Linked DNA regions of Sus scrofa. The protein of the gene in region 3 interacts with the protein of the main gene of each other region in a biochemical or structural test. Links are inferred from orthologs where the notes say so. Each region holds a gene or a part of one and is shown on either strand. Other genes may lie near its edges.

Region 1 (4,237 bases), on a different chromosome or scaffold from region 3:
AGTACCTAATTCCACTGCATGAACACTCTCCCAACCACACCTACAAGATATCAATAGGATTCAAAATACAAATATTGCTTTAAGCATTTGTCTTAGAAGAATGTAAGATTATTGGAGGGGGCTGTTGGGGACACATGCGAAAATAATTTCAATTCTCCTGAACTGGGAACATTTTTATGTTTCAATTATCATGTAAAGAACATATGTATTAATGTACTAATGTACTGTAAGGTACCTATAGAACATTCATTCTTTAATGAATGTTCACGTCTTCATGTCAAGGATGCTGCAGCATCATTAAATCATTAAAAAAAAAAAAACCTTGTATATTATTAAAACTACTCACCTTCTCCAATTTTCTCTATCTTGGTATAGTCTTCCATAGTTACTCAGTGGATGTGGTAGATCCTAAAATGAGAGGAAAAATGGACTTGATTACATGCCACAAACTCAAAGGGCAATTTTAAGTTATTAATGAGATACTAAAGGGAAGTATTTCCACAGTGCCTAGTGCAGTATTAATTTTCCATAAATCTTATATTAAAACAATATTTACATGGGAAAGAACTAAAAACTCTCCCACCTTAGCTCATGAAAACACTGGAAATAATTGTATATCCTATACTAGTGTAACATTTAGTGCCTTCCAAACCCTCAAATTTAGACAGATGTTCTCTTCATGTAACACTTTTAAAGGGCACCAGGAGTTCCCCCAGTGGCACAGCAGAATGAATCCAACTAGGAACCATGAGGTTGCGGGTTCGATCCCGGGCTTCTCTCAGTGGGTTAAGGATCTGGCTTTGCTGAGAGCTGTAGGTCGCAGAAGCGGATGGCATCTGGCGTTGCTGTGGCGCAGGTCGGCAGCTGCAGCTCTGATTGGACCCCTTGCCTGGGAACTTCCTGGCTGCGGGTGTGGCCCTCAAAAGACAAAAAAAAAAAAAAAAAAAAAAGGAGCACCAACAATATGTGTCAGAGTTGTACCCAAATACTTTAACAAAGAATGTTATTTGACTGAATTTGTATAGATTTATGATATTTTTATGAAGATAATTTTTAAACAATTTTTAAAGGCATGAGCAGGGAGTTAAAATGTGACACTGCTCGCTCATTATGGGTTTTTTGGGGGGTTTTTTAATGCAAGAAATAGATTTATTAAGATAGGATGCTTGTGAAAGATACAAGCAGGCAGACAACGCGGCTCTTTTTTTTTTTTCATTAGTGTTTAAAATAGCAAAAGTGTTTCAGCTCGCTCAAGTGACAGTTTTAATCATTCTCCTGTTCTCAGCAGTCACACAGGATAAAAATTTGGAGGGTAAGGCAGGAAATATCACTAAGCACTCTAAAAGAAAAGGTACAATTCCACAGGGGGGAAAAAAAATCTATACCCCACACAACAGACAAGAACAATAAAGGCTTAAAAAAAAAAAAAGCTGAAATGATAATCAGATACAAGACTTCCTGTTAAGTCTTGGCTGGTTAGTTTGCCTGTCAACCATTTACTTCAGAAGCTCAAAATCTAATTTTATAATACAATCACTGATAAGCTTATATACAAAGGTCACTCTGAGTAATTTGACCCGTAGATTCTATTTCTCACATTCATCTTCAAAATCATTCCAGAAATAAGCAGAAATAGATCTTTCTAAATGAATTAAAATTGCACTACACTTGCCATCCTAGAAAGGTTTAATTTTACAAATGGCAGTGGACGATGAAGATAATTATCTTTTCCTCAATATCCAGATTTAATATGCCTAAAGCACAATAAAATTGTTAAGCTCAGGTTAAACAAATAACTAAAAACTAACTCCATCTCAACGCTGGGTTCAATTACTCTCCCTCCATTCTCCGGTTGTAACTATTTGAAATAAAGATAGCAGCTTCGGAATTTGAGTATAGCCGGCCTTGAAATACCAAGACTTCATCTACAGAGACCTCCAGGTCTTTAGAGGAAGCAAGACGTACAAGTTATTAGGTAAAAATTGACTATAGGATTTAAAAACACACGTTTCTAGCTGTAGGCTTTTCTTAGATATCTACTCTTTACCAACTCCATGGTATATAACAACCACCAAGCATAAAAACAAATTAAAACAAATCCAAGTTCTCTCGGGCTGTATGCCTTGGCTAAGTCTTCCTTAAAGCTCTAGGTGGGCTAGGGTCACAGGCACAGACGCAAGCCTGAGAAGACCCACAAGTTAGTTCATCCAATCGGTTTCCAGGGGCGTCCTGGGATCAGGAAGAGGTTCGGGTACCTGGCCCAGGTGCGGCCTTGCTTTCCACGCCCAGAGGCGAGGGCAAGGCGCACCAGGGACGGGGGGAACTGCAGGACCGAAGGCCGAGCCTGGCACTCGGCAAGCACTTGGCAACGTCGAATGCGCGGATTCGGCTTCAACCATGACCTCAAAGCCTCCTCAGCCGCCCGCGACCCCAGGCTAAATTCCGAGGCCAGAGCAACCCCAGCCCGGCCGGAGTAATCCTGCCAGGGCTGGGCTCCCCCAAGCCTCGCTCTCATGACGGACCTCGGCGTCACTCACACGCCCAGGCCCCAGATAAAGGTCCCGGCTGGCCACACGCAGACCCTTGCTGCCCAGGGCCCAGCCTCCTAATTCTCACCCGGTTCCTTAACACTCCCCCTCCGAGGCCCGCGAACCTCCCCTGCCAACTGAACGCCCCATAAGCATGACCCTGACCCCAGCGACTCTACCCAGCTTATTATCCTGCGACGAAAGCGGCGGCAGGGCTACCACGTCAGCGTCGCTCTCCTTAAGCTCCCAGAGCCAGCTTTGAAAAGCTAAGTGCGAGCAGTTTCAAACTCACCGCGCTAAAGGGTCCTGGATCCACCAATCAGGTAGCCCGTAGACTTTCAAAGGATCCAATCAGAGCCCAGCTGCTCTTGGGCTGGACCTCCTGGGTGGCTAGAGCGCGAAAGAAGGAGGAAACGGCGGCTGGAGAAAAAGCAGGAGGGCGGGCGCCAACTGAGTGTGAGCGCAAGCGCTGTCTTCCATTCCAAGAAAGCGTCGTCCTACTGTTTCAAGTCATCAGAAATCTACTGTTCGCCAGGGGTTGGCTTTTTTCCCCTCACAATACTGGCACATTTAAAATTTATTGTACTCAAATACCTCATCAGAAAAGTGATAACACACTTAATCTAGATCCCATTACTTTCACTTAAAATTCTTAAAGCTAGCTCACATTTGTGTTTTTCTAAATTAATAACTCTCAGGCTGGGCCAAAGGACATTTCAGTTACCTCAAGGAAATAATAGAAAACTCAAAGATGTCCTGATCAATGTAAAGAAAAACTTTATATCACACACACACACACATATACACATTGGACTTTACTATTTTTACATTACACACATGTTGACTATGTTATGTTTTTAACCTCACTTTTTAAATTTAAATTATTTTGTCTATTTAAAATGTTATTTAAAAACTAAAAACAGGGAGTTTCCGTTGTGGCACAGGGGTAATAAATCCGACTAGTACCCAGGAAGATCCCTGGCCTCACTCAGTGCATGGAGAATCCAGCGTCGCCCTGGCTGTGGTGTTGGATCCACGTTTAAAACATTTTTAAAATATTCTTACATGAGAATTATAAATTTATATTATAAATTATAAATAAAAAAAGAGTTCACATTTCTATGAGGGAAGAAAGAGATCTAAATCATACTTTAAATAATCCAGTGTCCCAAAACTCTTTCATTGCCTTCCACCATATCCTAAAGAGGGAGTTCTGCACCTGAACACCATTCTTAAGTCCTTAGGGAGATAAAAGAGCAAAATAGAATAAGGGATAAGAGTCTTTGCACTGACCCTAATGGAATGTAGGACAAAAAAATCATTACCATGACCTCTACAGTTATATGTTAGATGACTCAAGTTAGGCTAAGGAAAGGAGCTAGTATACCACAGGCATTTATGTTTTTAATACCTTATTATGCAAGGAGCAGCATCTGTCATCCGGCCCTATATATGGCACAAACCCTCAGCCTTGGAAACTTTGTGCTCCTGGGTATCAGAGGCAGAGCATTTGGGATTCATGGTGGAGATAGGGGGTTGGGAAATCTTGGCCTGAACCTAATAACCTTTAAAACCTATTTCTAAAATTTCAAATTCACATTTTAAATGAAAACTGCCCCTGGAGAAAAGCTCTAGAGAAGAAGACTGCTTTCTGGTAGTTTAGTGTACTAATTTTACCGAATAAATATATATATCTTTCTCTTGGGAGG
Region 2 (3,997 bases), on a different chromosome or scaffold from region 3:
GAAAAGAATGGGAGCTACTTTACTTACTTTTTGCAATTTTGGAATTTGTATCAAGTGACTGTGTTATTCATGCAAAAAAAAATCAGGTTCCGTTTAAAATAAGTCAATCATACATTTCCTTACAATAAAACAGTGAAACAAAATCTACTTCATCAAGCTAGCTTAAGAAGGAAGTTCCCATCGTGGCGCAGCAGCAGAAAGTTGCTGTGGTGGCGCATCGGAAATGAATCCGACTAGGAACCATAAGGTTGCGGGCCTTGCTCAGTGGGTTAAGGATCTAGAGTTGCCATGAGCTGTGGTATAGTTCCCAGAGGTGGCTCGGATCCTGCATTGCTGTGGTTTAGGCTCCCAGCTGTAGCTCTGATTGGACCCCTAGCGTGGGAACTTCCATGTGCTGCAGGTGCAGCCCCAAAAAGCAAAATAAATAAAAAATTTTTAAAATTTAGGCATTCCTGTCGTGGCTCAGTGGTTAATGAATTCAATGAGGAACCATGAGGTTTCGGGTTCGATCCCTGGCCTCATTCAGTGGGTTAAGGATCTGGTGTTGCTGTGGCTGTGGTTGTAGGTCGGCGGCAACAGCTCTGATTAGACCCCTAGCCTGAGAACCTCCATATGCTGCAGGAGCGGCCCTAGAAAAGACAAAAAGACAAATAATAATAATTATAAATTTTAAAACAATTTTTTATTTTAAAAATTTAAAAAAGGAAACCTCTTTACACCCGTATTTTGAAGAAGATAAGCAAATTCAGGTTCTGTCAAATCAGCATAAGAAGCAGAAGGCATATTTTTAGGCTGACCAAGTGATTGCACGAGCAGACAGGGACAGCAGTAGAACCTCCTCCCTACACAGAGCCCCACTAGTGCTTCCCCTGTTTATACAAGGTCCCAACCACGTGTTAACTTCATGACATCCACCTGCAGGAGATGCACTACCATGAAAGTCTGCGATGGGTTATGGTTATAAATTACTTGCTGCAGAGGTAAAGCAAACTGTTAAAAAATATTTTTTTCCCCTCTGAGTATTCAAAAGACCTTTTCTAGAAGAAAAAAATTATTTCTAAATTTTATTCTAACAGATAAGCCAAAATCACTCCTCGACTCTCATTTTCTAACGAAATCTCTGACACAGCAAGGATCCTATCAGAAACATAAAGAAGAAAAGAAGAAAACATTGCTAAGAGTGCATCAGCCTTAACAGAGTGAGCGCCTTAAAGGGGCTGCTTCTTGAAAGCCGTCCTCATGAAATGCCTTCCGTCCACCTTCGGCTCAGACACGAAGTGGCCCGAGGTGAAAGGCTGGCCTGCCGCGGAGCACGCCCCGGCCTCGGCTGAACCACTGGGCACACGGGACTCCAGGGGAAGGGCTTGGGTGCTCTCAGAAGGTGCTCTATGAAATGAAATGTTCGTTTTGGGGTTTTTTTTGCTATTTCTCTGGCCGCTCCCGCAGCATATGGAGGTTCCCAGGCTAGGGGTTCAATCGGAGCTGTAGCCACCGGCCTACACCAGAGCCACAGCAACGCGGGATCCGAACCGCGTCTGCAACCTACACCACAGCTCACGGCAACGCTGGATCGTTAACCCACTGAGCAAGGGCAGGCACCGAACCCGCAACCTCATGGTTCCTAGTCGGGTTCGTTAACCACTGCGCCACGACGGGAGCTCCTGAAATGTTCTTTTTCTGTCTCAAAAATTCTCCCTGGCACAAGCAAGAGACCCCTACTTCCCAACAGCACCGGATGTCAGCGACAGGCGACGCCTGCGGGGTCCCCGGACAGCCACGTTCCCGCACCGCATTCGCCCCCGGCAGTGAACCTCTCCCTCAGCAACACGTCCTTCTCGTTCCCACTGCACACAGGCACTGCACACAGTCAACTCGACCCAATACTCCAGGCAAATTTTAGTTTCTCCCTCGTGACTCATCACCACCTAAACAGCGCACCACGAACTTGGCCACCACAACCCGCTCAAGAGCCTGCAGACCAACGGGAGCGCAGACAAGCTCGGCTCTGGCCGACGCCGAACGCGCTGCGGCTCCGCCCGCGACCCCGCACTCGGGGGGATGCCCGGCGGCAGCGGGAACAGGCTGCTCCAGGGCCTCGGAAAGGACTCGCCATTGGGCCGCGCGCGCCGCCGCCCCCGCCCCGAGGCATGACGTCACCGCTCCCCCGCGGCGCTCCGGCTCGGGTCCCGCTCCTCGCGGCCGGCGGGGCAGGGACCGGAGCCGGCCTCGCTCCGCCAAGCGCTGCTCCCAACACGGCCCCGGCTCCGTCCCTAACCTCGCGGCCGGGACGCCCCGGTGCCTCCGGGGGGGGCCGGCGAGGCTCCGCGCCCTGCGGGGGGCCGAGACCCACGCAGGGCCGGGGAGGGGCTCGGGGTCGCCCCGTCGCCGCGGGCCGGGGTCTGCAGGGGGCCCGCACTCACGGTCGGTGCAGCGGCTCCTCGGCCACTGCCGGGCCGGGCGGCGGCGGCGGCGGGGGCGGGGGCGGCGGCGGCTGAGGCGGCGGCTGCGTCTGCGGTGGCGGCTGAGGAGGCTGAGGCGGCGGTGGCGGCGGCTGCTGTTGCTGCTGCTGCTGCTGCTGCTGCTGCTGCTGCTGCTGCTGCTGCTGGAAGGACTTGAGAGACTCGAAAGCTTTCATCAGCTTTTCCAGGGTCGCCATGGCGGCCTCTCGCCCCGCGGGGACAGCCCCCGAAGCCCTCGGGCCGCCTCGGGGCTCCGCTCAGCAGCGCGGCAATGAATGGGACTCGGGGCCGCAGGCGGGAGCGGAACCGAGGCGCCCGGCCATCTTGGGTCCGTCCCGGCAGCCCCCGCGGCCCTGCGTCCCCCGACGCTCCGCCGGCGGGGCGGGGCCGGACCGGCGGGATTGACAACCAAAGACGGCGGCCTCCGCCAATGACCGGACGAGGCTCCGGCCCGCCCCCCGTGCCCACCGCCTGGCTTCCTAGAGCCCCTGGGAGAGGGGGCGGGGCGCGACGGGGAGGGCGTGAGCGTCACGGCACGTCCGGGAAGGAGCCCCGCCCCCGGGAGGGAGCCCCGCCCGCGGGAAGGATTCTGGGGGATGGCCGGGAGGGTCAGCCCTGGGTGTGGAGCGGGGACCCCCGCGGGGCCGCTTGCCCATCCAGCGGCCGTGGAGGAGGGAAGGTCCTTGGGACAGCCCTGCAGAGGAGGAAGGGGGAAGTGGAGCTAGAAGACCCTCCGGGCGGGAGGCCAGGTGTGACCCCTCGGAGAGGAGCTGGGCCCTGGAAGGAGAGTCAGTAGCCCAAGGGGGAGCTGAAGGCTTCGGGGTAAAAAAAACCTGCCTGGTCAAGGCCCTGCTCCCCAGAGAGGCTGTGGCTGGTGCAGCGAGAAGCCGCTTTGACCCCGGAGATGCCCCCACAGGAGACTGCCCAGCCCACGGCTGTCCACTCCCAGGGCGGAGGCCGACCGGTGTGCAAAGGTCCGGTCTAGGGCTCCAGAGCCTCATCACCTGGAGGGGAGACAGTGGGCAAGCCAGGGGCAGCACGGAGCACACGGCCTCAGGAAAGCCCTCTGGGGCAAGCAGTAGGAAGCCTCCAGAAGTCTTCACCTGATTTCAGAGCCTGTTGTCCCAAAGCAGTCAGGTGAACAGAAACCCAGCATCCCCACAGGAAGCGTTGTCCCCAAGGGGACAGCAATGGGGGCCTCCCTTCAAGGGAAGGATCTCAGAGAAACGTGCTGCCAGCCTTGAGGTCCCTGTTCCCTGGTGTTAATAAAGGCCCTTGTTCACTGGCGAGGCTGCATGCCAGCCTTCATGCAGCACAGGCCACAGTGGCTGAACTCCAGGCTGTCAGGTACTGTGATTGGCAGACTTCTCAGATGGCCCAGTGACCCCCTCCTGCTGCTCACTGCCTTGAAGAAAGAGCCCCCTCCCTTGAGTGTGGGCTGTCACTGGTGGTTCGCTTGCGATTAAGTAAAATTTATATTTTAGGGTGGGGCCCAAAAATGGAAACATAAAGTTCTCTGTCATTTGGCCTCCTCCATC
Region 3 (4,102 bases):
CAGGCCACGCAGGCTGCCTCCACCAAAACTAGGGTAAAGGAGAGGCAGAATGAGTAGCCAGAAATTCAGGTGTTTCGGGAAAAATCACCTCTAACCTTTGCAGTTGCAAAAAGCAGGCACTCTATCTGGCTACTTGCTTTATGTTTAAACGTTATTTACAATTACGGGGTAGAGGCAGGGGCGGGGGTGGGGTAGCAGCTTACAGGACCTCGAACTCCAGGAAGTCCTCCAACACTCTTTAGCCTCAAAAGCAAGCTCTCGAAGAGTTAACCGGCCTTAAGTAGCTATCAACTTTGGGGGAATTTAGTAAAATGGCGTTTGCTGGAGTCTCACAAAGACCTTGCAAATTGGTCAGTGCGTTATTAACCTACTGTATGAGCGCCCTCGCCAGATCTCCTTGCGCCAGCACCCACAGGGGTTACACCATATTCTGAGGCATCCGCCTGCCAGTCCGCCCACCGCGGAGGGGGGAGACCTGAGAGGTACTTTTAAAAGCGGTTAAGTGAAGACTCAAACAAGCCCTGATGTCGAGGAAGAAATGCGACGCGCCGCGGGGCTCGGCCCTGACACTTGTTGAATTGCAGGGCTCTGCTGAAGCCTTGCCACCTAATCACGGTAAAGACGTCCCCAGAGGAGGGCCAAAATGGCGACGGACTCCTCTTGGCACAGCCCTGTTACCTCCCCGACAACTGGCGCCTCTAGTAACGCCCATTGGCCAAGCCGGAGGCGGTGCCTGGCTTCCCTCGCTGCCTCATTGGGCTGAGTGACTGAAGCAGCCGCCAATTCTCCCCTGCCTACTCCAGGTTCCCGCCCTCACAGTTTAAGCAGCATTCAATTGGCTTTTATTCACGTCAATTTGTGTCCTAGCGCGTCTCTTTTCAGTGTTAATCCAATCATAATTTTCCTGGCCGCCCGCCTGATTTCTGATTGGTTTTGATAAGCTTCATCCTATCCCATTCCTGTCTACTTTTTACCACCTCCCACCAGGACTTTGCCCAGGCTTGCCCAGGGTTTTGGTTGGTCGCTGTTCTGTCATTCCAATGAAAACCCTTCCTATCCCTACGTCTCAGCGAGCCCGCCTGGCAGTTGACTGGTTTCTCTCCAAGCCTATCATCTCTAAATCCCGCCTATCTTCACTTCCTGCACCTTTCATTGGCTTTTAAAACTGAGAGGGCGCCCTTTTTGGGCGGACACCACGCACGCAACTTTGTCTTACACGCCTTAGAGAGCAAACGAGTCTCGCCATTGGGTAATTTGCCTGTCTTTCTTTTGCAAGTCCCTCCTTTCACCCTCCCTTATTGGGCGGGGCAGCAGTGGAGGGGCGGGGCCTAGGCCGGGCTTGTGGCGCGCTGCTCCCTCCTCTTTACCCCCCCCTCCCTGTCCGGTCCGGGTTCGCTTGCCTCGTCAGCGTCCGCGTTTTTCCTGGCCCCCCCAACCCCCCCGGACAGGACCCCCTTGAGCTCGTCCCTCAGCTGCCACCATGAGCGGTAAGGATGAGTCCACTCCAAGCTTAGGGGTGGGAGGGGAGTGAGGGGGCGCGCGCGAGGGCCGACCGGGCGGTCCCCGCCGTGAGGGGGGCGGGCGGGAGGCGGCGGCGGCGGCCTTGGTCCCGCCCGGGGCGGAGGGAAGGGAGGGAGAAGGGGCAGTGGCGGGGCCTCGGAGGAGGAGGGGGATGGGCCGCCCGCCCCGGGGGAGGGGGCAGCGTGGCCTCGCCCGCCCCCTGCCCGCCCCAGCCACGGGGGACGGGCCTTACCCCCCACTACTCGGCCGCCCGCCTGAGGCTCCTCCTGCCGGGGGCTGGAGCCGCGGGGGCGGCCCGAGCAGTGCAGGCCCCGCCCGGGCCAACCGCCTCCCTGGTCCGCCCTCTGGTCGCCGCCGGCCCCAAGGCCCTCCTCCCCCCACCCCCCGAAGGTTACCCCTCCCCCCCGTAGATTACCCCTCCCCCTACCGTCCCGCCCTTTCCACGCCCCTCACCCCGAAACCGCCCTTTCCTTCTAGGGCCCGCCCTCTGTCCGCCCCGAAACTCCTGATTTCTAACCCCTGGACCTCTTTAGCCCCTTTCTAGTATTCACAAATGTTCCCCCCTACAAAACTTTTTATCTCATCTTTTCTCCTTCCCCTTCCTTTCCTCTTGTGACTTTCTACACTTGAATTCTTCCCTTTCTCCATCTCCTTTGACCCTAATTTGAGCAAGCTTTCCATCCACCCACATGTTTTATGCCTTATCTATATTTCTCCTTTTTTTCCCCGCAGGATACTTTTAAACTCCTTCAACATGTCCACGGACCCTTACATTGTCTATACCAAAAGCACCTTTTCATTGTTTTCTGAGTTTAATTTTGTACGAGGGAGAACTGCGGCCCAGTTTTGGCACCAAGGGGCCCAGTTCAGGTCTTCCTAGCCCTACAGCTGTCTCTTCTTCCCCAATCCTTTTTTGTTTGTTTGTTTAAATACTGGGACTTTCACCTTCCTGTTAGTCATTTTTGTTTGGTCCTAGTCTTCCTTACCCTTCTTCATTTTATCTTTTTTCTTTCCCCAACTTTAAGTTATCTTTTAATTCTTTTTAGACCAAGATCACTCCATGGATGAAATGACAGCTGTGGTGAAGATTGAAAAAGGAGTTGGTGGCAATAATGGGGGCAGTGGTAATGGTGGTGCCTTTTCTCAGGCTCGAAGCAGCAGCACAGGCAGTAGCAGCAGCGGTGGAGGAGGAGGAGGGCAGGTAGGTGATCATCTGGACAGAGTGGGCATCGTGTTGAGAGGATGTAGATATTCTTAGATGATTGTCTTTTCACAAAAAAATTTTTAGGAAAGGGCTAATTTACAGATAGGGAAGTAAGTACAGAGACAAGTGACTTGGAGATCCCCAAAGATGAGAATTTCAAATTTCAGCAGTGTAGATAGGTTGGCTTTTTGTTTGCTTGGGGGGGGCACTGTTTTGCTGTTTATTTATTTATTTTGGGTTTTTTTTACTGTTTATTTTTTTCTACTGCCCCCAGGGCTGGCAGCTGGTGTCACTAAACTAATCTCTTTCCTCTCCCTTATTTTTGGCCAGGAGTCCCAGCCATCCCCTTTGGCTCTGCTGGCAGCAACCTGCAGCAGAATTGAGTCACCCAATGAAAACAGTAACAACTCCCAGGGCCCAGGCCAGTCCGGGAGCACAGGTGAGCTTGACCTCACAGCCACACAGCTCTCCCAGAGTGCCAATGGCTGGCAGATCATCTCTTCCTCCTCTGGGGCTACCCCTACCTCGAAGGAACAAAGTGGCAGCAGTACCAATGGCAACAATGGTGGTGAGTCTTCCAAGAATCGCACTGTCTCTGGTGGGCAGTATGTCGTGGCTGCCACATCCAACCTGCAGAACCAGCAAGTCCTAACAGGACTGCCTGGAGTGATGCCTAATATTCAGTATCAAGTAATCCCACAGTTCCAGACGGTTGATGGGCAACAGCTGCAGTTTGCTGCCACTGGGGCCCAAGTACAGCAGGATGGTTCAGGTCAGATACAGATCATACCAGGTGCAAACCAACAGATCATCACAAATCGAGGAAGTGGAGGCAACATCATTGCTGCTATGCCAAACCTACTCCAGCAGGCTGTCCCCCTCCAAGGCCTAGCTAATAATGTACTCTCAGGACAGACTCAGTATGTGACCAATGTACCAGTGGCCCTGAATGGTAATATTACCTTGCTACCTGTCAACAGCGTTTCTGCAGCTACCTTGACTCCTAGTTCTCAGGCAGTCACGATTAGCAGCTCCGGGTCCCAAGAGAGTGGCTCACAGCCTGTCACCTCCGGGACTGCCATCAGTTCTGCCAGTTTGGTATCATCACAAGCCAGTTCCAGCTCCTTTTTCACCAATGCCAATAGCTACTCAACAACTACTACCACCAGCAACATGGGAATTATGAACTTTACCACCAGCGGATCAACAGGGACCAACTCTCAAGGCCAGACACCACAGAGGGTCAGTGGGCTACAGGGGTCTGATGCTCTGAACATCCAGCAGAACCAGACATCTGGAGGCTCACTGCAAGCAAGTCAGCAAAAAGAGGGAGAGCAAAACCAGCAGACCCAGCAACAACAACAAATTCTTATCCAG
Region 4 (4,016 bases), on a different chromosome or scaffold from region 3:
TTCCTTTTTTACAATTTGCACAAACTTTTCAAGATAAAATCTGAAATAACTTTTCCTCATCCCTCCTCTGATAGTGATAAAATCTTCCTCATTCTTCCTCTGACACTTAGGCCTGAAGACTGATACCCTTGCAAGGTGAGGAGGACCTTATCCTTATTACCTCTCAGGGGACCAAGGCCAAAGGTACCAATTAATTTGAAATCTAAAAGAGACCCATTTGGCTTATAAGAAAAAAAAGGTTTTATATTCTTTCCAGAGTAGCCACCTGCAACAGGAGTCAGACAAAATAAGGGAAGGCTCTGCAAAACTCATTAAAAAAAATACAGGTTATGGCATGAGATCTTTTCAGATATTTTTTCCTAACGGGGAGGAGAGGCCAAAATTGATGATAAATAACAGCGCATGCTTTATATTTATCAACTCCTATCGGGTATTTAATGCTTGATGTTAATGCTCCTTCTATCGGGTATTTAATGCTTCATATTAAACTGCACCAAAAAAAAAAGGTACTACCCTCCATCTTATTCTTTTTTTTTGTGGTCTCATTCTTTCGTCAAAGTAGAGGTTGTGTAAAAAAAAAAAAAAAAGAGCATTCTTTATGTTGCAAGGTATTATTCTTAACGCTTGTTTAAAAAAATGCATAAACCCTTCATGTTGAAACCCTAAGAAAACGACCATTTCTCTTGAAATATCGCTAACTATGCAATTGCATAATCCCGCGCCCTTTATGTAAGCTGCAGCGGACAGCGCATGTTTGTGTAAAAGCCTCAAGACGCCAAAGCAAAGCAAAAAAGAGAAAAGGCAGGCAGCCGGGAAGCAGAGTACGAGGTGGGAAGGGCCGGAAAAGAAGCCGGGAGGGGAGGAGGACTGGGAGTGGGGCGCTAGGCAGGAAAGGGAAGCGCGGGCGGAGGCGCGGGCGGGGGAGGCAGACGAGGGGCGGGGGCGGACGGCGGGGGAGATCCTCGCTGGCGGGGACAGACAGATGGGGCCGCCCTAACCTCAATGAGGCTCGCGGGTGAGTCACTGGGAACATTCCTCGCCGCTCGCACGTCCCCGCTTCCCTGCCTCCGCCATTGGCCAGCTGGCCGGGCGGCCCGGGCTGGGATTGGCTGGGCCTCGGAGGGCGGGGCGCGGAGGAGGAGGAGGAGGGGGCGAGGCATGTGAACAAAGCGTGATCAGCGGCTGCTCCGGGCGGCGCAGGAAACGTGAACTGGGAATTGCCGCGCCGTCACCTTTCACCTACTTCCTGAGCCCGCGGGCCCCCGCCCTCGCGCCGGGCCGGGGGAGGGGCCGCGGGCGCCGCCGCCAACCGCCCGGCAGTGCGCGCCCCAGCCCGCGGGGAGGGGCGGGGCCCTGGGCCGGGGAGCGCCCGCCCCTTCCAACTCCCAGCGAGCCGCCGTTCCCTTAGGAACCGACAGCGGGGCCGGGCTTTGCTCCCGCCCCTGGCGGAGGCCGGAGCTGGGTCACTCGGGGACGAGAAGCTCCCCGAGCGCACCCGCTCCCGGCCCACCCCCAGCCTCCGCCTCAGCTGCCGGGGGAGGAGCCGGGTCCCCGCGGAAACCCGGCCCCCGCCCTCCTCCGGCCGCAGCCCCCGGGGACCTAGCCGAGCCCTCTGCGCTTCCCGCCCACGCCGCCCGCGGGATTTCGGACCACCCTGACTCTCCCCGAAGATGCGGCGCCCCCTCCCCGAGGTTTCCTGCAGCTCCGGCCCCAGCCCGTTGCGCATCTCCACGAGTTCCCAGACGTGCAGCCCCAACAGGCCCCGGCTCCAGACGCGCGGCCCCACGGCCTGCGGCTCCCGCCTTAACACGCTGCCCCCGCGTCTCGCGGCCCGGCTCCCCCCGCCCACCTTCTCCGCCCTGCTGCTGGGTCCCGCTTCCCACCCTCACATCGCCGAGGCGGCTCTCTGCCCCCTCCGAGAGGTGCTCAGAGTGTGGCCACCTGCCTGCCCCGGGAATGGGAAGTCCCTCCAGACGTCGGGGGGGGGGCAACTCCGCGGCCCCCCTCAGGGGTCCCGGGGCCGCGTGCCATCCCCCACGCTCCTGCCAGTCGCCCCTCCCCCAGTGGTCGGCTATCTGCTGAGCAGCCCCCGTCCCGCAAGCCTCCGTTCAGACCGCCTAAATGGGGAGCCCCCTTTCCTCTCCTGCGGACACCTTGCCCCGCAAATCCTCGCAAGCACTACTCTCCCACCCTGGGTTGCATTCCTGATCTAGACAGAGGCAGCTCTCTACAGCACCAGGTGCAGGGTGGCCCCCTCACCCCCCTCCTCCTTCCACACCTCCTATCCTCGCTGAAAGGGTAGCAGCCCCCACCCCACTCTTGCCACCCCTCCAGTCATCCTCCCCCTCACCTGCTTCAGGTCTCCCGGCAGAGCTGACCCTTTCCCTCATTACACCTAGAGCAAGAACCCCCTCTCCCTTCGTCTCTAGACCCCAGCCTGCTTCTCCTGACCCTCTTCACTACGCACGCCGTCACTAAAGACCGGTCTGCACACAGAAAGCCCCTTCCTCTCCTACGACTCCACTGCAGCCCCCGTCCTCCGGCGTGGCTGATGTCACGGGGCTCAGGCTTCGCGCCCCCCGGGGGCCCCTCAGACGCAGCATAGGCCAGGAAGGACAGGGGCATCCCCAGGTGACTTACCGCAGCTTGCTGGAGAGAAGCGCCGAAGTTGAGCATGGTTGGCTGCCTGGCCGCCCGCGGCGAGCTGACTGGCTGCTAGGCTGGTTGGCTGCCTGGCCACAGACGGGCGCCCAGAGACACTCGACGCCACTCCCGCCGCCGCCGCGCTCCGCGCCGTCTGCCCCCTCCCCATTCAGGTAGCTGCTCCGCCTGCCCCGCGCCGCGGGAGGGGGTGGGGGCGGAGCCTGCTATCGGCCAATCAGCGACAAAGGTGTGTGAGGCGCCGGCCAATGGGCTAGCGGAGCCACGCGTGATCAGCGGCTGCCCGGCAGCGTGAAGCTTGTGTCAGTGGAGCGTGTACACAATCCCCGGCAGCGTGTTCCCTCGGCCCAGCCCGAGGGAACTCCCGCCGCCACCTGACTCAGTGACACCGCCCCCACCCCTCATCCACGCCCCCGCCTGTAGTTCCCCCTCCCTGGCCTGGGTGGGGGGCGGCGCTGAGAACGGGGGCCTAGCCCGGAGGCGCGGCAGCGGCGGCGCGCCCAGGGACTGCGGAGGGCCGGCCCCACGTGGGAGGTGGGGAAGGATGCCCGCTCCGCCCTGTCCCCGCCGCACGAGGCCCCATCTCGGCTCTCCGCGGGGTAGGCGGGACGCCGGGTAGCCAGGCGGGGGAGGCAGTGGCTGCAAGCCAAGGGTCCCGAGCCAAGAGATTTGCATTTGGAAGCGCCGTCCCCTTGCGCGTCTGGCGAGAAAACAGAGCCCGGTGACCGACTGAGCTGCATTTTTGGAGCATTTGCAGGGTTCTGACTCGCAGAGCCCTGGATAGCACCAAGGGAGGGTAGGAGAGGGAAGGGAATCCTGTCACTATGCGGACACCTGCTCCTGCGCCCCCCGCCCACGCCAGGGCCGGCGGCGCGGGCTCGCCCTCTCCATCTGCGCTGCCTGCGGCATTGCCCGCCCCCGTCCGCCCCGCCCATCCTTCCTCCTGGGCGGTGGAGAGAATGCTGTGGGGACGGCAGGAAGCCCCGAGAACTAGACCAAGGGGGTGATGGGGAGCCATAGACTAGAGTTCTTATCTTTCTCTGGCGCCGGCGCTCGTTTGCAGAATCGAGTTTTGAGCTCGCTCTAAAGTTTAAATTGCAGTCTACCAGCTGTTTCAAAGGTAGACCCTACCCCCACACACACCCCAGGCCAAGGCCTCCGGAAACGCTCTGCCAGGAAACTGCTGCTGGGGATGGGGTGGGGATGCGGTGGGGCGGGGTCTTCTAGGGTCGCCTGGCGCCAGGCAGGGCACGCCTGCGGGTGGGTTGCAGTGGAAATGCCCATCAAATCAAAGACACAATCCCCACCCCCACCCCACCCCAACCCCACCCCCGTCCCCGGCCGGCGAAAGCACC
Region 5 (4,088 bases), on a different chromosome or scaffold from region 3:
ACACAGATTAATGAAATCCCACTCACCCCTCCAAAAAGTACCAAATCAGGGTAAAACAAAAACAAAAACAGGCGAAACCAAAGAAAGGTTGTGGTTCTAGGCAAATGTCTAGCTGCCTCTTCATTTACAAGCAAGCAGGTTTTGCTCAAAATGTTGCCATATTATCTAAAAATGCTATGGAATTATCCTTGAAATAGATACAAGTTACATACCCTACTAAGCATTTACAACTTTTGAACAGAAAACAAGTATCCTGCACCCCTCCCCTATCCCCTCCTCCCCATCGCCCCACACAAAGTTCTCACTGTTAAAAGCAACAGAAAATTGAAAAATTTCAAGAAAAAGTTGAACTTACAGTAGCCAAACATTATTGAAAAAAGTGGGAAATATAATTAATGTCTGTCCTGCGCGGTGCCACTGCAACCTGCAGCCAGCTTTTGCCCAGTGAATGCACGAGCTTGCAACTGCAAAACACTGGATTCATTAACCATCTGAATGCAAAACGTAAGCATGCTTTGAGTTCTTAAAGCTGACCAAAGTTTTTTTTTTTTTTAATGTGTATGTTTTACTTCAACAGTGCCAGCGTTTTAAATTGCCATGTAAACAAAGACAACTTTAGGAAAAGTTAGGGCTACTGAACTCTCCCCCAAACAAATTAATATAGATATGTCCATGTACACGTAGCTATCTCACTTCAGGTTGTATACTATTTTCTTAAGTTTGCTTTGATTCTAATTTTAATGCAAGTCCCAATGCAATTTAAGCTCTTGAGACATAATGGCTAGAATACTTTTTTCTAATTATAGTTTTGAACTTGGCAGTTATTTTTCAATTAAATGAGAATACAATTCAAAGTTTTTTTTTTTTTCAGATGCCTACAAAATCTCCCTGGAGCTAGAAATGAAGTCATCATATTTGCCTTTTCCTTGAGGTCTGAAGGAATTCAATTTCTTTTCTTGTGGCATATAAAATATAATTTTAAAGTCAATTACAAGAAGGAGTAATCTGCATTCTGCAAAATTGACTGGTTCGCTAATTTGACTATAAGACATCTTTAATGATTGTCAGGAGATAAACTTTAACTGTAAATGGCTAGATATATTTATAAGAAAAGTGCTGCATCTCTTGCCACATGAACATGAAGCATATCTAAATACAACATCAAAAGTTGTGTTAAAAGAAACCAAATCCATACAACACAGGGATTAAATGATGTGGAAGCTCATGCCAGCTGCAGTCTATGCATTATAGCCAAATCAGAAGGATCGGTAAATGCCGCTGTAAATTGTAATTTGTATGCAGTATTTAAGCAGAGGGTGGAGTTTGATGAAGAAATAAAACGAGTATCATGCTTTAAAAAAAAATGACACACTATGAAAGCACGGTTCAGTCACAAACTTTCCTTTCAAAGTAGAGGGGTGAAAACAAGGCCACAGCTCTGGAGGAGGCGGCCCCAGCTCGGTGAAGAGGAGAGGGAACCAGTGAACAGGCCAGAAGCCCCCCTTCCCCCCTAATTAGACCTACAAGTGCAATAAATCTCACTCCTCTTTTCCCAAGCTAAGCTTCCAAAAGGATGATGCAGTAATGAATCTATGGTTCAGAGTACTCCAGTCTCCAGCCCTCCCCCATTTTAAATAAAGGGCATGAAGAGGTGGAGGGAAAAGTGGAATGAAAAAACACAGAAACAGAGTTTTCTGGGGGAAAAAGCACCCCTCCCCAAGTACATGCCAGCACAGCCCCGAGCATCCTCACGCACACGCGGGAAAGAGACACACACCGAGCACATCCAAGACAGAGGAAGGGGATTTTAAGCCACAGCTCACGATCCCAGGGACTCAATCCTGAGCAGGCAGCGGGCGGGGTGGAGGAGCCGGGGAGTGGAGCGCAGGCCGGGAGGGGGAGGCAGCGGCAGCGAGCTGGGGAGAAGGGGGGGGGACGCCGGGGGAGGAAGGCAGCGGGGACAGGGGAAGCTGGGACGGGCCGGGACCGCAGGAGCCCCAGCCTCATACAGCAGCCACCCCCGCCGGAGAGAGAGAAAGAAAGAGGGCCGGGGAGGCGGGCGAAGCTCAGGGAGAGAAGCACAGAAGAAATATTCACCTTCCCGCCTCATGCCCACTTTGAGGCACTTCTTGAGGCGGCAGTATTGGCACTGGTTGCGGTGATGCTGGTCGATGGGACAGTTCCTGTTGGCACGGCATGTGTAAGTTAAGTTCCTGCGGACGCTCCTCTTGAAGAAACTTTTGCAGCCCTCGCAGGTGAATTGGCCGTAGTGCTTGCCGCTCGACTTGTCCCCGCACACCACGCACTCGATGTGCTGCTGGCTCTGGCCCGAGCCAGGCGGGCCCTGGCCCTTGTCCCCTGCCGTGCCGGGGGTGGCGGGCGCTCCGGGCTGGCCCGGGGTCTGCGGCGTGTGCGGCGCGCCCGAGCCCGCCTGCTGCTGCTGCTCGCCGGCGCCGCCGCCGCCGCGGGCCGCCTGCGCTGCGGGGTTGGGGCCGCCGGGGTTGCCCCCGGCCACGTCGTCCTGCGGATCTCGCCAGCTGCTAACTACCATTGCCATATCTTTGGGCCCGGGGAGCGCTGGGGGGAGCCGAGCTGCTCGCCGAGGGCCGTGGGGCGCGCGGGCGCGCTGGGAGGGGAAGGGGAAGGGGAAGGGGGGAGGGGGAGGGGGCGGGGGGCCCGCCCGGCGCCCCGGGGTCGCGGGAGCGGAGCCCGAGCCGGGCACTGGCCGCTGCTTCTGCCGCCGCCGCCGCTGCCGCCGCTACTGCCTCGGCCGCCCCGCTGCTGCTGCGCGCCCGCCCGCCCTGCTGGCGTTTTGTTGTGGTTCCTGCTGTTTTCTTTCTCTCTTTTTGCAGCCCCCCAGGCTCTCAGGCTCCCCCCCCAACACCCCTGCTCCCCTCGCCCGCTCCCCCCGCGCTCTGATCCTGGGGGGCCACGCTCTCCTTCCCCCCCTCCCCACCCCCCCCAGCGACCAAGCTCCCTTCTCTCGCTTTTTTCTTCTTCCCCAAGTTGCAAAATCAGAAATGGCACAGGCGGCAGCCGGGAGCGGCGCGGGGCGCAGCGCCGGGGGCGGCGGGCATGGGCCACGGCGCGCGCACACACTCACCCTCCGCCTCGCCCGCACCCCCGCGCACACACACACTGGCACACACACTCGCTCACCCGCGCCGGGCGCCCGCCCGCCTGCCGGCCGCTCGGGCTACGCGCTGCGCGCCGGCGGAGCAGACATAGAGGAAGCGGGCGAGGGCGGCGGCGGCGGCGGAGGAGGAGGAGGTCGCGGCTGCCGGCGCCTCTGGAGCTGCCGCCTCAGCTGCAGCGCCGAGCGCCGCTGGAGGAGCCCGGGCCCGGGCCGGAGTCCGAGCTGGAGTCGGGGCTGCAGCCAGAGGAGCGCGAGCCCAGGTCGGGGCCGCCCGCACCGCCGCCGCTGTCCCGGCGGGAGCCCTCGCTGGGCTCGGGATTGAGGGGAGCGCGGTGAGCCGAGCAGGGCGCGGGGCGAGGCTGCCGGCGGCGATCAGGGCGCGCTGGTGTCGGGGGGCCAGGTCCAGGGCCGGACGCAGCCAGCCATTCAGGAAGGCAGCGCTGGAGAGCAGAAGGCAGCCAGCGAGGAGGATCACACACTTTGCTCTTTTTGTTGTGCGGGTGGCGCCGGGCTCTCGCTGCCTTCTTCTTTCGGGAGGTGACAGAGGGAGAAAAAAATACGAGATAATTCACGCCGGCGACGATTTCACAGCGAAATAGAAAAAATAAAAATCAGAAGAAAAAGAATTGCAAAAAAAAAAAAAAAAAAAAAAAAGCGAAAGAGACATCCAAAGTAGGTCGAATAAATAATCCTCTTCTTTTCCTCTTTCTTGCTCCTTCTTCTGCTTCTTCTGCTATAACACACAGAGCTAGTTAAAAAAACCCTGGAGATCGCCCAAAAATGTTCTTTTTTTAGTATTTTAAATAAGTGCTCTTCAGCCGGGAACCAACACCCTCCCTCCAAAAAAAATCATATATGTATAAAATAACGATAAGAAGAATACGAAGGGGGTGCCTCCTCCTCCTCCTCTTTTTTTTTTTTTTTTCCCTTAAGTTTAGCCCTCACTCCTCTG

Evidence for each region. The genes of interacting proteins can lie anywhere in the genome.
Region 1: of the proteins of SP1 (region 3) and CDK1, one has a biochemical effect on the other in vitro, tested with the Homo sapiens proteins (2 studies listed by BioGRID). The link is inferred for Sus scrofa from reciprocal best matches to the Homo sapiens genes SP1 and CDK1.
Region 2: the proteins of SP1 (region 3) and HTT form a complex in vitro, tested with the Homo sapiens proteins (2 studies listed by BioGRID). The link is inferred for Sus scrofa from reciprocal best matches to the Homo sapiens genes SP1 and HTT.
Region 4: the proteins of SP1 (region 3) and KLF10 form a complex in vitro, tested with the Homo sapiens proteins (2 studies listed by BioGRID). The link is inferred for Sus scrofa from reciprocal best matches to the Homo sapiens genes SP1 and KLF10.
Region 5: the proteins of SP1 (region 3) and NR2F1 form a complex in vitro, tested with the Homo sapiens proteins (2 studies listed by BioGRID). The link is inferred for Sus scrofa from reciprocal best matches to the Homo sapiens genes SP1 and NR2F1.

Annotation. Positions count from the first base shown.
Region 1 is NC_010456.5:64,232,552-64,236,788, reverse strand, and holds the start of CDK1 (cyclin-dependent kinase 1), read right to left. Parts: upstream 2,801-4,237; 5' UTR 2,708-2,800; exon of another isoform or gene 2,694-2,707; intron 2,559-2,693; exon of another isoform or gene 2,514-2,558; intron 409-2,513; 5' UTR 384-408; coding exon 347-383; intron 1-346. UniProt on the Homo sapiens protein: Plays a key role in the control of the eukaryotic cell cycle by modulating the centrosome cycle as well as mitotic onset; promotes G2-M transition via association with multiple interphase cyclins.
Region 2 is NC_010450.4:1,808,571-1,812,567, reverse strand, and holds the start of HTT (huntingtin), read right to left. Parts: upstream 2,801-3,997; 5' UTR 2,657-2,800; coding exon 2,421-2,656; intron 1-2,420.
Region 3 is NC_010447.5:18,587,461-18,591,562, forward strand, and holds the start of SP1 (transcription factor Sp1), read left to right. Parts: upstream 1-1,302; 5' UTR 1,303-1,480; coding exon 1,481-1,487; intron 1,488-1,989; exon of another isoform or gene 1,990-2,391; intron 2,392-2,567; coding exon 2,568-2,722; intron 2,723-3,055; coding exon 3,056-4,102. UniProt on the Homo sapiens protein: Transcription factor that can activate or repress transcription in response to physiological and pathological stimuli.
Region 4 is NC_010446.5:34,428,916-34,432,931, reverse strand, and holds the start of KLF10 (Krueppel-like factor 10), read right to left. Parts: upstream 2,801-4,016; 5' UTR 2,677-2,800; coding exon 2,641-2,676; intron 1-2,640.
Region 5 is NC_010444.4:100,446,373-100,450,460, reverse strand, and holds the start of NR2F1 (COUP transcription factor 1), read right to left. Parts: upstream 2,801-4,088; 5' UTR 2,558-2,800; coding exon 2,098-2,557; intron 1,914-2,097; exon of another isoform or gene 369-1,913; coding exon of another isoform or gene 356-368; intron 1-355. UniProt on the Homo sapiens protein: Coup (chicken ovalbumin upstream promoter) transcription factor binds to the ovalbumin promoter and, in conjunction with another protein (S300-II) stimulates initiation of transcription. Binds to both direct repeats and palindromes of the 5'-AGGTCA-3' motif.